Linked DNA regions of Rattus norvegicus. The protein of the gene in region 1 interacts with the protein of each later gene in a biochemical or structural test. Links are inferred from orthologs where the notes say so. Each region holds a gene or a part of one and is shown in the gene's direction. Other genes may lie near its edges.

Region 1 (6,031 bases):
GAGTCAGGGCTGGCCCGGCAGTCTCCGTGGCGGGACCTGGCCCAGAGGCTTGCAGAGCCCGGGGCGAGCAGTTGGGGGGTACCGCGCTGGGCCATGAGAGCGCGCGCGCCATAGGCAGCGCGCCTCGCTCGCGCCCGCGCCTCCCTTCCAGCCCCCTACCCTCGGCCCCCAGTTGCCCAGCACCAGACCGGGTCGAGCCGAGTACAAGATGGCGACTCTGCAGTCCGCTCTCCGGGCCGAGTCGGGGCGCCCCTTGGTGCGGCGCGCGCGCGCGCCCGACGCCCCACTAAAAATAGCCGGGACCCGTCTATATTTGGTTCGCCGGATCCCGGCGCGGACGCGCGCGTCCCACCCCGCCCCGCCCCACGCCGTGCCGCGCTGAATGGAGACGGGAGGGGGTGACCGAGGGGAACCTACTCCGCTATCTGCCGCGCGCGCCGCCGCCTGGGCCCGGCCAACCGCCCAATTTAGTAACATCGCCTGCGTCAATCACGCGCCTCGCGTGCGTCAGCGCCGCGCGGCTCCAGGTCCTGCTCCCCCAACCCCCAGCCTTTGAATGGATTCAATGTAGGAGCGCCCTCCTTCTTTCTGGGCTAGGATGGGAACGCACCCGCAGCCAGGGGGCTCGGTTCCTCTGGGCTGGGACAACTTTCCGAGCGTCCTCTCACGGTCTTAAGCACACCAGCCTGCTAAAGTGAAAGTGGAGGCGTAGACTTAGAGAGGCACACTATGCACGTGTTGTTTTGTTTTCGAGTTTCTGGTCCCAGTTCGAACCTTCTTCGATTCTGGGGCATGTGCTATGACTAGGGGATCCTCTTCCCCCAACTTTGCCACCCACAGGCTCAAGTCAAAAAAAAAAAAAATGCCACTTGGGATTCTAGCAGACCACCAGAGACCGCGTCTGTCTGAGTTGTTTCATTCAAACATTTCCTTCGTAAAACAATCATTTCTGAGAGAGGTTACTTTCACTTAGTAGCCACCTTTGGAACTAAGAGTTCCAAACTCGAACATGTTTTGGTTTTGTTTGTCTGGTTTGCTTTGTTTTCAGCAAGAAAGTGACATCCTAAATTCATTTCCAGGAAGAAATCGCTGTCCCTTATACAGTCGCCCAGACTTTCTGCATACTTGGAAGACAAATGGGCCATAGGAAAGATCCCCTAGAGACCGCTTAATGAATCCTGTTGATTGATTTTGAAATATTTCATTTGAGAGATGGAAGGGGAGGCGTCTACGACCCTCAAAAAAAGTGAAAGTGCGAGTTCCAAGTGTGACCCGGTGCAGGGGAGGAGTAGAGGATCTGTTTAACAGTCAGACTCACTCAGCTGTTCAACACGTGTGGTGTGTTTGTTTTATATATAGTTTCTCGTGCAGCGCGCGCGTGGCTCGATGTGCATTTCTTTGGATTATAAAGTGTCCAGTAAAGAACACCACACCATAAGTGTAAAGAAATAAAATCTTGTCCCTGGAGCGGTCTGCATCCTAGGGCGAAACACCAACAGCAGACAGGAGGAAGAGGCAAATTAGCCTAGGCGCAAAGGGCCAGAGAGACGTAAACAGCCTTAGAACCACTGCATGAGGAAAGCACAGCTGCACCTCAGGGAGTCTTCGGGCTGGTGCCAGACTCCTTCAGCAGTGACTGCCAGGTCACTCGGAGAAGCTGGCTGGCGTAGCCTTCCCTTTCGGAAGAGCTGTCCTCTCTCTTACCCCCTCGACCTGGCTAGGTGCCTCGGGGCAGCCTCGGAGGCGAGCCAGCAGCACTCCTCCAACTCTACTCCACCCGGAGCCTGACAGCTGGGCGGTCCCGCCTGACCCGCGGGCGGGCTGCGGCACCCTCCGGTAGACCGGCGCCCTGGCAAGCAGCTCCGGTGCAGAGGGGTTGGCGGCGCGAATCTGAGAAGCCTCAGGGCTGTGGTCCGCAGCTCCCCGCGGTTTCCATTGTGCGTCCCTGAGAATGGCCGGGGAACGCGCGTGAGCGCGCGCGCGAACACACACACACACACACACACACACACACACACACACACACACACACACACACCCTCGCACACGCGGAACCGGCTGGGCCAGGGGAGGGAGGAGGAGGGTGACGTAGCGTCCCATGGCGTCACATTGACGTCTCGCATTCCAGGCACTCTATGGAGAGGCCGCTAGGGCTCCTGTGGCATAAATGACGTGCCGAGAGAGCGAGCGAACGCGCAGCCGGGAGAGCCGAGTCTCCTGCCTCCCGCCCCCCACCCCTCCAGCGCCTGCTCCTCCTCCGCTCCCCATACACAGACACGCTCACACCCGCTCCTTCACTTGCACACACAGACACACGCGCGCTCACACGCTCCGCACACACACTCCACTCTCTCCCGCGCGCTCACACCCCTCTCTCTCGGCGCCCTCGCCGGTGTCGCGCCGCGCCGCGCCGCGCCGCAGCCGGACGCCCCTCCAGGGCTCACTTTGCAACGCTGACAGAGCGGGCAGTGGCCGTGGAGGTGGGAAACGTGGCGACATCCTAGCCCCTGGTCGCAGCCGGAGACTGGACGCCTGCGGAACCTCTCGGCGGCGCTCTCCCATGAGTTGGGATCGCAGCATCCCCAGCCAGCCGCTGCTCACCGCCTCTGGGAGCCGCTGGGTTTGTGCACCGCAGCCCTTCCGGGACAGCAGCTGTGACTCTCCCCCAATCCAGATTTCGGGGTCGCTCTCTAGAAACTCGCTCTAAAGACGGAACCTCCACAGAACCCAAGTACGTACAATATGCCCAGTTAATATGGGGACTTGCTTAAAAGTTGGCGCGCTGGGAAGTGTCGCTCCTGAAATTGACAACTTTTAATGTGGGGCTCCCCCCCCCCGCCGCCTCCCCTCTCAGGCTTTGCTCCCCAGGCGAGCGGTGGGCTCCAATCTGAAACTTTTCCCCTGTAGCTGGCCCTCGGGGACTCTGGAGCTTGTGAGATTCTTCTCCCCACCCAAAGAGGCGAAAAGCCTCTAACAAAGAGGAGGACCTGGATTTGTGCTATAGCTGCTCCAGCGTTGTAATTCAGGGTATTTCGGCTCTAGTTGTCATGGTAATGATGCTCTCGGCGGCGGCGGCGGCGGCGGCGGCGGCGGCTGCGGCAGAGAGTTGGAGCCCCGGTGATGAACGGCAGTAATTTTCCTGCCTTTTAAGTGGGATTGAAAATAGGGACTCTGGTGGGTCCGAGTTAATGTGTCTAATGGTGAAATGAAGCTGGTTGTCTGGGAGAAAGCCTAGGAGGGACACTGCCTGGGCAGCAGCGGCCAGAGTTTGCAGAGGCGCTGGAGGAGCTCAGCAAAGAGGGTGTAATTGTAGGAATGCGGCTTATTGTATTGAAATGAGCCCGGGGCTCCACTAGGCACGTCTGCCAGGCGTCGCCGACTTGCTGGTTTACACTTTTCCCCACGGAGGTAATCGGGTGTAATTGCCGACTCTCGCGCCCCGACACGCGTGGGGACGGCGTCCCTCTTCTCCGGGCCTTGACTGGTGTGGGAAAGGCTTGTGTTACTACTTTTCAATGCGCTTTCGGAGAAGTTGCTCCGAGTGTTTTTATTCTTGGTAAGGAGGAAAGTTCTCGATGAAAAAGAGAGCTGAGAGGCAGAGCTCAGTCTGCGGAGACTGGCTTTCAAAGGCACTTTCTCGAACCTGTTGGAGGCTTCCGGCAGTCAGGAGGGAGCTCATGATCATTGGTCCCTTGATTTCCAAGAACGTTCTTGGAGGTGGCCTTTTGTTTATGTGCCCGGGTTCTCCCGAGGGAAGAGCCGCGGGGAGTGTGGTCATCAGTACTCTCGAGCTGCTTATCCTTGGGCCTTGGAGTGCTGGGAGAGAGGTTACAGGGTTCGGTTCAGCCATTCCTTCGCTATTCCAATTCCGGAGCTCCTTTCCCAACAATCGGGAAATGTTTCTCACAGAACCAAGTTAGAGAAAGAAAAGCTGCCCAACGCGCATACTGAATACAATGAATGAAATTACTTTATTGGAGTTGTTTTAACGCAGCAAGATACGCATTAACGTGAACGCCAAAGACTGCCCGGGCCACCACTCCCTCCACAGGCGCCCCCAGCCCCCCCCCCCCAATCCTGGACCCAGCGCTGGCTCACAGAAATTCTCCCCCGGGGTTTGTCTCAGCTCCCTCGGTCTTTCTGAGAATCTCTGTCTTTCCCTTTCTGCCGGTCTCTTCTCCACCTCTCTTGCCCCCGCCCAACCTCCGCCCCCGCTCCCCATTGGAAACTCCGCGGAGGAGCCCGGGTCACAATGGTGTGTTTCACGGTTTCCTCCACACACTTCACCACGGGGAGAGGAACACGGGGGTGTTCCCTTCGTCTGCCCCGGAGAAAGAAAGGGGCTTTGACAGAGGTAGTTATTTCTTCCTAATTTACAACCCCGAGGCTCTGTACTCCCGGCCCCAGCGGCCACGAGCCTGAGCGACAGAACGTGTTTCCAGGCGCAGAGGCTTTACCTAGGTAACCGGACCATCGGGGCGGGGGGCGGAGAGAGCGATGGGGCTCTGGGCTGGGCTGTACGATGGGCGGGGTGCCGACCTCTGAGAGGAACCCCTTTCCTGGGGAGGCGCGACCCCCGCCCACCAGAGTTCAGAGGCTGCCCCTGAAAGAAAGACTACTCTTGAAAGGCTCCGAGAGACAGTCGGGATAGGAAACCCAGTAGAATTGGGGGTGGGGTTGCTGGAAGACCCCCCCCTTGAAGATGCGAGAGGGGGAGGACGAGAAGCACATGCTACAGCTGTGGAAAGATCCACTCGTGCCAACGCTTCAGCGAGCGCAAGGTTTCCGTCGGAGTACCTCGGGTTGGGGATGGCAAGGGAATCCCCCATTTCCTGGCCATCGAGAATTTCCTAGACCTGGGGAACCCGAGCCTCTTTCTCTCTACAAGCAAACTCTGGGCGCGGGAGTGGCAGGAGATGAAACTTACCCCACCCTTGGGTCCAGCTTTCACCAGAGATCTTTTGGTTAGTTTGGGGGTTGGGTTCCCCACGAGGGGGGAGGGGGCGCATTTCTAACCTTTGAGCTGTGCCCACCCCGAACAAAGGGGGCGCTATAAGCCGGAGTTAGGGGCAGCTAGAGCCCTCCTCCCTGCCAGTCAAGCTGCGCTTCCAACTACAAAGTTTCACTAGGTTGTGCACCGGGACTTTCGCCCGGGAGCCGCTCTGGGCGCTCTCCGGAATGTACCACCTCTGAGCCACCCGGTGGCCTGGAGCCTTGAGGCCGCCCACCCTCGGGGACACCGCCCGCTGAGGGCAGGGGACCTCCCTTGATCCGTCGCAGCCACAGCCAAAGCTGTCTGCCGGAGCGCGAGGCTCCCAGCTTAGGCCTTTCCTCTGTGCCCTTTTGTTTGCTTGACCCTTGGCCCTCGAAACTCGCGACTAATAGAAGGGAAGCTCCATTAGCATTTAGAATGAAAAGCACAGACTTTCTTAATTCCTCCGGGCATTCATGCATTCGTTCCGGACCTTGTGCATTTCCTACGCGGCGTGTAAAATTTGTGTTTGAGGAGTGGGGGCCGTCGGAGTTGAAAAATGGCTATTTTCTTCAGCATACTCACTGACACTACCACAATCCCCAATTCGGGCTCTATTCGTTCCTTAAGTGTCTCCCTTACTTCGGTCTTCCTGACTTCGCAAGCTGGAAACCAACAGTGGGTGTAGAAAAGATCAATTTCTTAGCGACGACCATGCAGGGATTTTAGCATCATGTATCATAAAAGAAAGGGCTGTGAGCTCAGTGGGTGCCGGCAACCTCCCCTTAGCTTCCTACGACGATGTGGTGCTTCTTGCCCAGGACTCCGTGAGCCCTAAGCGCTTTCACTTAACCTTATGACATTCTTTGTAATTATCTAGCGTTTCTCCAGGTCCCCCACCCCCACCCCACTCACCCAGCCCTGGGAAAGATGACCCAGCCTAGTCTTACCACAATCTCTGTCCCCTTTCTCGGTGCCTGCAGAGCCCACTGCGGGAGAGCGCAGCCCGACAAGCCCGGGCGCTGAGCCTGGACCCTCAACAGAGCGGGCCAGCACAGC
Region 2 (5,938 bases), on another chromosome or scaffold:
CACCTTTCAGCCTATAATCCTTCCCCCCTACAAGAGAAAGGGGTCCGGAAGAAATGATGAAGTGTCTGTTTTTGTGTCCCAACCTTTGGGCTCTTTCTGGGCCCGCAATGAGCGACCGCCCAGTGCTTCGCAGTTGAGCGGAAAAGTACTCCTGGTCCAGATGAAGATGTTTGGAGAGAGAGAGAGAGAGACCGCCAAAGTGGGGCTCGACGGGTCCACCTTTTAGGGGAAACATTCTTCTGCCCTGGTCAGCGACTTTAAGTTCCCCCACCTGTCTCCTGGTAAAAAGCCAGTATAGTTCCCTAGCCCAACCCAAACATTCGGTGTCACCCTCAAATCGGGTTTGCACTCCTCGGCCCTTTAAAACCTGGCACTGCCGGATCAAGGCCTAAGAAAGACCCGAGCTTGAGATTTAAGGCCTGCGACCATTTTGGCTCCAGCCTCCAGTTGGGTTCACGTTTAAATTCTCCCACAACTTCTTTTTTTTCCACTCCTCCCTCATTGAGATCTCCAGAGTGGTGTGTACCCGGCGCCGCGCCCCCAGATCTGCATCGGAATGTAGAAAAGATCTTTTAGAAAAAAAAGTTTTGAATTCCTCAATGATTTTTCTTCTGGAAAGGCAGCTTAAGATAATTATTTCAGCTTTATTGAGGGCAGATTAGTTGAAGTCTGGGCGCTGCGTTTCAATACGCGTTGTACATGGGCCGACAATGTGGGCATTGTTGGCTACTGTGTGTGAATCCATTCAACATATACACTTTTTAACACCAAACCGAATCCTGTCTAAATATACACAGTGCGTAGGGAAAGATGTCTCTGACCCGGACAAATCTGCGTAAATCACACTTCCATAGTTACAGAAGCCGCACAAAGGGAGGCCGGCCTCAAGATGCAGATTACAACTTCTCACAAGCAACATACCTAAGAATAAATAAATGCCCATGCCTGGCCTGAGGGCTGTGGTAGCTGCAGGCAGGAAAGACCCTCTGTGTTCTTTGAACAAGAGGGGTGTCTGTTTCAGGGTTATGGTATTGCTGTTTGAATGGAGAATTTCGGCTTGGAGTGTGTATTATAGTTGTTTACATTATGAGCAAACACTGAACTTTCAGGCCTTGGGTCTTACTCAGGGTAGCCCCGAAGTTTCTGTATCTTTTGGGGGAATGTTGAGCACGCCAAGGGGTGTCCTCATGGATGTAGGAAAAGTGGGCATCTTCCAGACTGCCCATGGTCCAGAGTCCCTAGGTTTCTGGCCTCCTGTTGCTAGTCTACCACTGTGGGAGGCAGTTGAAGTCTGGGGGTGGGGTGGGGGAACAAAGAGTGGAGTTGCTTTAGAAGACAGAGAAAGTGTAGTGTTTCCACTGTTTTAAAATACACGGTGATGGAGAATTCAACCAATGCTTGGCTGGGAGCAGAACTGTGCGATGGCTTGGGAATGGAGTCCAAGGGCACTGGCCAGGAAAGTCCTCATAGTCTGTGTTGTCTTGGCCCTCCTAGGTAACAGCTCCCATCTACTCCCATCTCCCCAATCTAGGCTCCCCCAGCGGCTTGCCACGGTGACTATGCAATGAGCCTTGTCACCTCTCCTCTTTCTTCCTGACCACTATCAGTGGTCACATGGACAGAAGGAGGTGGCTGGGACACCATGTGCAAACCTTGCTGGGCCACCTGGCCTCTTCTAAGGCTGCCTGGTGCTCCCGAGGCTGGGAACCTCTTCCTGCCCCCAAAACACTCCTGCTAACTAATTGCTTATCGCATTCAACTACTCTATGCCTATTCCTTTTCAAATTTTTAGATCAAAACTTCTTTGAGCAGGAGGAGGAAGAGGGAGAGGGGAGAGAGAGAGAGAGAGAGAGAGAGAGAGAGAGAGAGAGAGAGAGAGAGAGAGAGAGAGGGATATTAAGAGTTGCAAAGATTTTTTTTAAAAAATTCTGTTTCGTCCTCTTCTCCCTCCACCCCCCCCCCCTCCGGCTAAGTGGTAAAACCTTCCTTACGTACTCAGTATTGATTGGCAGGGCTGACAGTGATTGGCAGTGGTTGCCGTGGCAACGCCACAACGACACGCCACAGACCAATAGAAAAGCGAAACAAAATGTTTCAATGCTGCACTCACTGTGGATTTAGGGGAGATATTATGAGGCTGTTGTCATTAGGGCGATTGCTGTGGAATCGCTGAATCTTGACTCGGCGGTGGTTGGCTCTCGCTCTCCTCTCTCTCCCTCTCCCTCTCCCTCTCCCTCTCTCTGCCTCGGGTTCTCTCTCTGCGCGCGCGCACCGGGCCGCTCTCCTTCCTCCCTCTCTATGTGGCTGCGCGGGTGTGTGTGTATGTGGATGTGTGTGGGGTGTGGGTGTCCCTTACGTCCTTCCTCCTCCCCCTCCTTCTCCTTCTGCTCCCCCCTCCTTTCCATCTCCTCCTCCCCCCTCTTCTCTCCCTCCTCCTGGTCCTCATCGCCCCTCTCCTCCTCTTCCTCCCCTCTCTCTTCCTCTCCCTGAATTTTCTCCTCTCCTCTCAGGTCAGTCCATGGTATTCCGCTCCCCCCTAGACCTCTATTCCTCCCACTTCTTGTTGCCAAACTTCGCCGATTCTCACCACTGCTCCCTACTTCTGGCGAGTAGCGGCGGCGGGAGCGGTGCGGGCGGCGGCGGCGGCGCGGGAGGAGGCGGCGGCGGCGGCGGCGGGAACCGTGCGGGAGGCGGCGGTGCTGGCGGAGCAGGCGGCGGCGGCGGCGGCGGCGGCGGCGGCTCCAGGGCCCCCCCGGAAGAGTTGTCCATGTTCCAGCTGCCCACCCTCAACTTCTCGCCGGAGCAGGTGGCCAGCGTCTGCGAGACGCTGGAGGAGACGGGCGACATCGAGCGGCTGGGCCGCTTCCTCTGGTCGCTGCCCGTGGCCCCTGGGGCGTGCGAGGCCATCAACAAACACGAGTCGATCCTGCGCGCGCGCGCCGTCGTCGCCTTCCACACCGGCAACTTCCGAGACCTGTACCACATCCTGGAGAATCACAAGTTCACCAAGGAGTCTCACGGCAAGCTGCAGGCCATGTGGCTCGAGGCGCACTACCAGGAGGCCGAGAAGCTGCGCGGCCGCCCTCTCGGCCCGGTGGACAAGTACCGCGTGCGCAAGAAGTTCCCTCTGCCGCGCACCATCTGGGATGGGGAGCAGAAGACCCATTGCTTCAAGGAGCGGACTCGGAGCCTGCTGCGGGAATGGTACCTGCAGGATCCCTACCCCAACCCCAGCAAGAAACGAGAACTGGCGCAGGCCACCGGCCTCACCCCCACACAAGTAGGCAACTGGTTTAAGAACCGGCGACAGCGCGACCGCGCAGCGGCGGCCAAGAACAGGTCAGTGGCGGGGTCCGCGGCTGGGCCACAGCCTTCGGGACTAGGGAAGGGGAAACCGGTTGGAACGCAGGCGATCGGGACACGGTAGGGGGCGGCTGACCCAGCGCTGGAGACGCCGGTGCTCTCTGGACAGTTAGAGAAAGTTTCGGATTGCTCTAGAACAGGGATCAACCAGCTCTGGGTTTATAGATTGCTTTGCCCAGGAAGGGCTTTATATCCAGGCCAGCGCTGTGTGAGCATGCCTCTGGTGTCCTCAACCCACCGTGCCTGTCCCTGGGAGCCTTAGCCCCTCACGGGTCTCTTCAGGCCTGTCCCCAGTTAGAAGGTTGGAAGGAAAGAAAAACAGGACTTGCTATCTGATTATTTCGTGCACCGCAAAAGGGACGGGGTGGGTGGCTTAGAGGCGTCCATAAGCATCAAAGAGGGGAAAGTGGGCCAGGTTCCTGCCACGAAGAGAAGGCGAGTGGCCACTATCCCTCGAGCTTCCCTCCCTGACCCTGAACAGGAGAGGCAGGCCCGGAGTGAAGAGGCCTGGTGAGTTTAGTGTGTTCTCCCTACATCCTCCGTTATGGAGCATCTATTCCTTTGGTCCGCCGCAGGTGCAGTTGTCCCAGGCAAGTTGGTTACAAAGTCACAAAATTGTTTTGGTTCTGGTGGATCTTTAAAGCTCCACCGAGAGAACGTAAAGAGAAAAAGGAGAGGGCAGAGAGAAAATTAGTGCAAAGGGAAGGGAGGAAAAAGTAGGGGAATCCGGCAACAGTTCGGTTTGCTCAGTTTGAAAGGCACTAGGCCTGGGCAAGGAGCAGGGGCCCTGGCTGCTGACAGCTGCTGGTGGCTGGAGGCTTAGAGTGTGTGTGGGTTTAGGTGACCCAGGCCTGAATTCACTTTCATCTTATCTCTGCCTGTGGCGGCCACTTTTCGCCAGATAGGGGGAGAGCCCACGGCCAGTGAAAGGCTCCTAGGTTCAGGCAACTGCTTCTTCACCCAGAAAAGAGACCGTCTGTCCTTCTCTCGTGTCTTCTCTTTCTTCTCTCTTCTTTCTTTTCCTCCCCCCACCCCCATTCCCATCTTTAACTTCCAGCTACTCTATTTTCCCTTCCCCGTGTCCTGCGCTTTCTACATAGGGATTCAGAAAGGAAAGCAATGGGTGCTCTAAGGAGAACCCCTACAGCTCTGGGTGTGTGTTTGGGAAGGCCCTGGCAGGAGGCTCTGTGGAATCCCTGGTTCTCTGGGCAGCGGGTCCAGTTACATGAGCCTCGGAGGCTGCGAAGGAAAAGCGAAGCTCTTCCTCACTGTCTGCTGGCTCGGGTCTCAGCGTCCTTTGCTGCCTGCTCAGGTCTCTGCAGGAGGCTGGCTTGGGAGTCTACTCTTCCTCTGAGGCCGTCCCTATCTGGAACGCTTCCCTGGGCTAGAGAACCGGGAGCTCGGAATTGGGTTGGGAAGTCTCTGCGGGACTCAGGGGACAGCTGGGTGCCTGGAAGAACGCGAAGTGCAATCGAGGTGGCTAGGGGCACGCTACGCGGGAGGCCGCGGTTGTAGGGGAGTGTGGGCCCAGCCTGGCCAGGTTCCCCGCGGTGCCAGCGAGGGGAGCACGGCGGCGGACCACCGAGTGAGGGCGGGCATGGCTCTCTTGTTCCCCGCAGGCTCCAGCACCAGGCCATCGGGCCGAGCGGGATGCGCTCGCTGGCCGAGCCCGGCTGCCCCACGCACGGCTCAGCAGAGTCACCGTCCACGGCAGCCAGTCCGACCACCAGTGTGTCCAGCCTGACGGAGCGCGCGGACACTGGCACTTCTATCCTCTCGGTAACCTCCAGCGACTCGGAATGTGATGTATGATAGCCAAGGCCGCCCTCCTCCTCCTTCCCCTCCTCCCCCTCCACCTTCCCCTCCTCCTCCTAGCCCTGCTCCTCTTCCTCCTCTTCTACTCCATCCCTAGAACAAACCGAAATCAGGATACACAGCCACACACACACACACACACACACACACACAAGTCCATACACACTCCCACCCCAGCCAAAAATATATTTAAAAAAAACAAGAAAAATAAATTAACCTCAAATCATCAACAACCCCCCACCACCTACCACCACCACGGCCACCCCAAAGGACCGCGACGCCAACAGACAGTCACAAACGCTGATGTTGCGGGCAGAAAGCATAAAAGAGGTGACAATTGTATACTTTCTAGGACAAGCACGGCTTCTCCTTTTGGTTCCCACGGACCCGGCACCCCACCTGCATGACGATTTATTTGTATCTGGGAAAATATTCTCTCTAGTTTAAAATGATTTAAAGAGTCGACTATACAAAAAAACGCCACCATCGCCGCCGCGACAAGACGACAAAAGCAAACAGACAAAAAGAAAAAAAATCTGACATCTCCGTTCTGAATTTGTTTTTTTTTTTTAAAGGAAAGAAAGAAAGGAAAAAAAAAACTCCTCGAGAGAAATAGCAAATGTTTCTTCCTTCTGTTGCTCTTTTCTCCTTTAGCCCTATCCATCCATCTATCTATCTATCTATCTATCTATCTATCTATCTATCTATCTATCTATCTCTGTTTTTTAAGTCCAAGTATTGGTCAAACAAGATGCAATCC

The links.
Region 2: the proteins of Nr4a3 (region 1) and Six3 form a complex in vitro, tested with the Homo sapiens proteins (3 studies listed by BioGRID). The link is inferred for Rattus norvegicus from reciprocal best matches to the Homo sapiens genes NR4A3 and SIX3.

The regions. Positions count from the first base shown.
Region 1 is NC_086023.1:67,154,990-67,161,020, forward strand, and holds the start of Nr4a3 (nuclear receptor subfamily 4 group A member 3), read left to right. Parts: upstream 1-2,208; 5' UTR 2,209-2,731; intron 2,732-3,052; exon of another isoform or gene 3,053-4,461; intron 4,462-5,955; 5' UTR 5,956-6,031. UniProt on the Homo sapiens protein: Transcriptional activator that binds to regulatory elements in promoter regions in a cell- and response element (target)-specific manner.
Region 2 is NC_086024.1:14,792,482-14,798,419, reverse strand, and holds the start of Six3 (homeobox protein SIX3), read left to right. Parts: upstream 1-2,163; 5' UTR 2,164-2,518; coding exon 2,519-3,339; intron 3,340-4,982; coding exon 4,983-5,175; 3' UTR 5,176-5,530; coding exon of another isoform or gene 5,531-5,620; 3' UTR 5,621-5,938. UniProt on the Homo sapiens protein: Transcriptional regulator which can act as both a transcriptional repressor and activator by binding a ATTA homeodomain core recognition sequence on these target genes.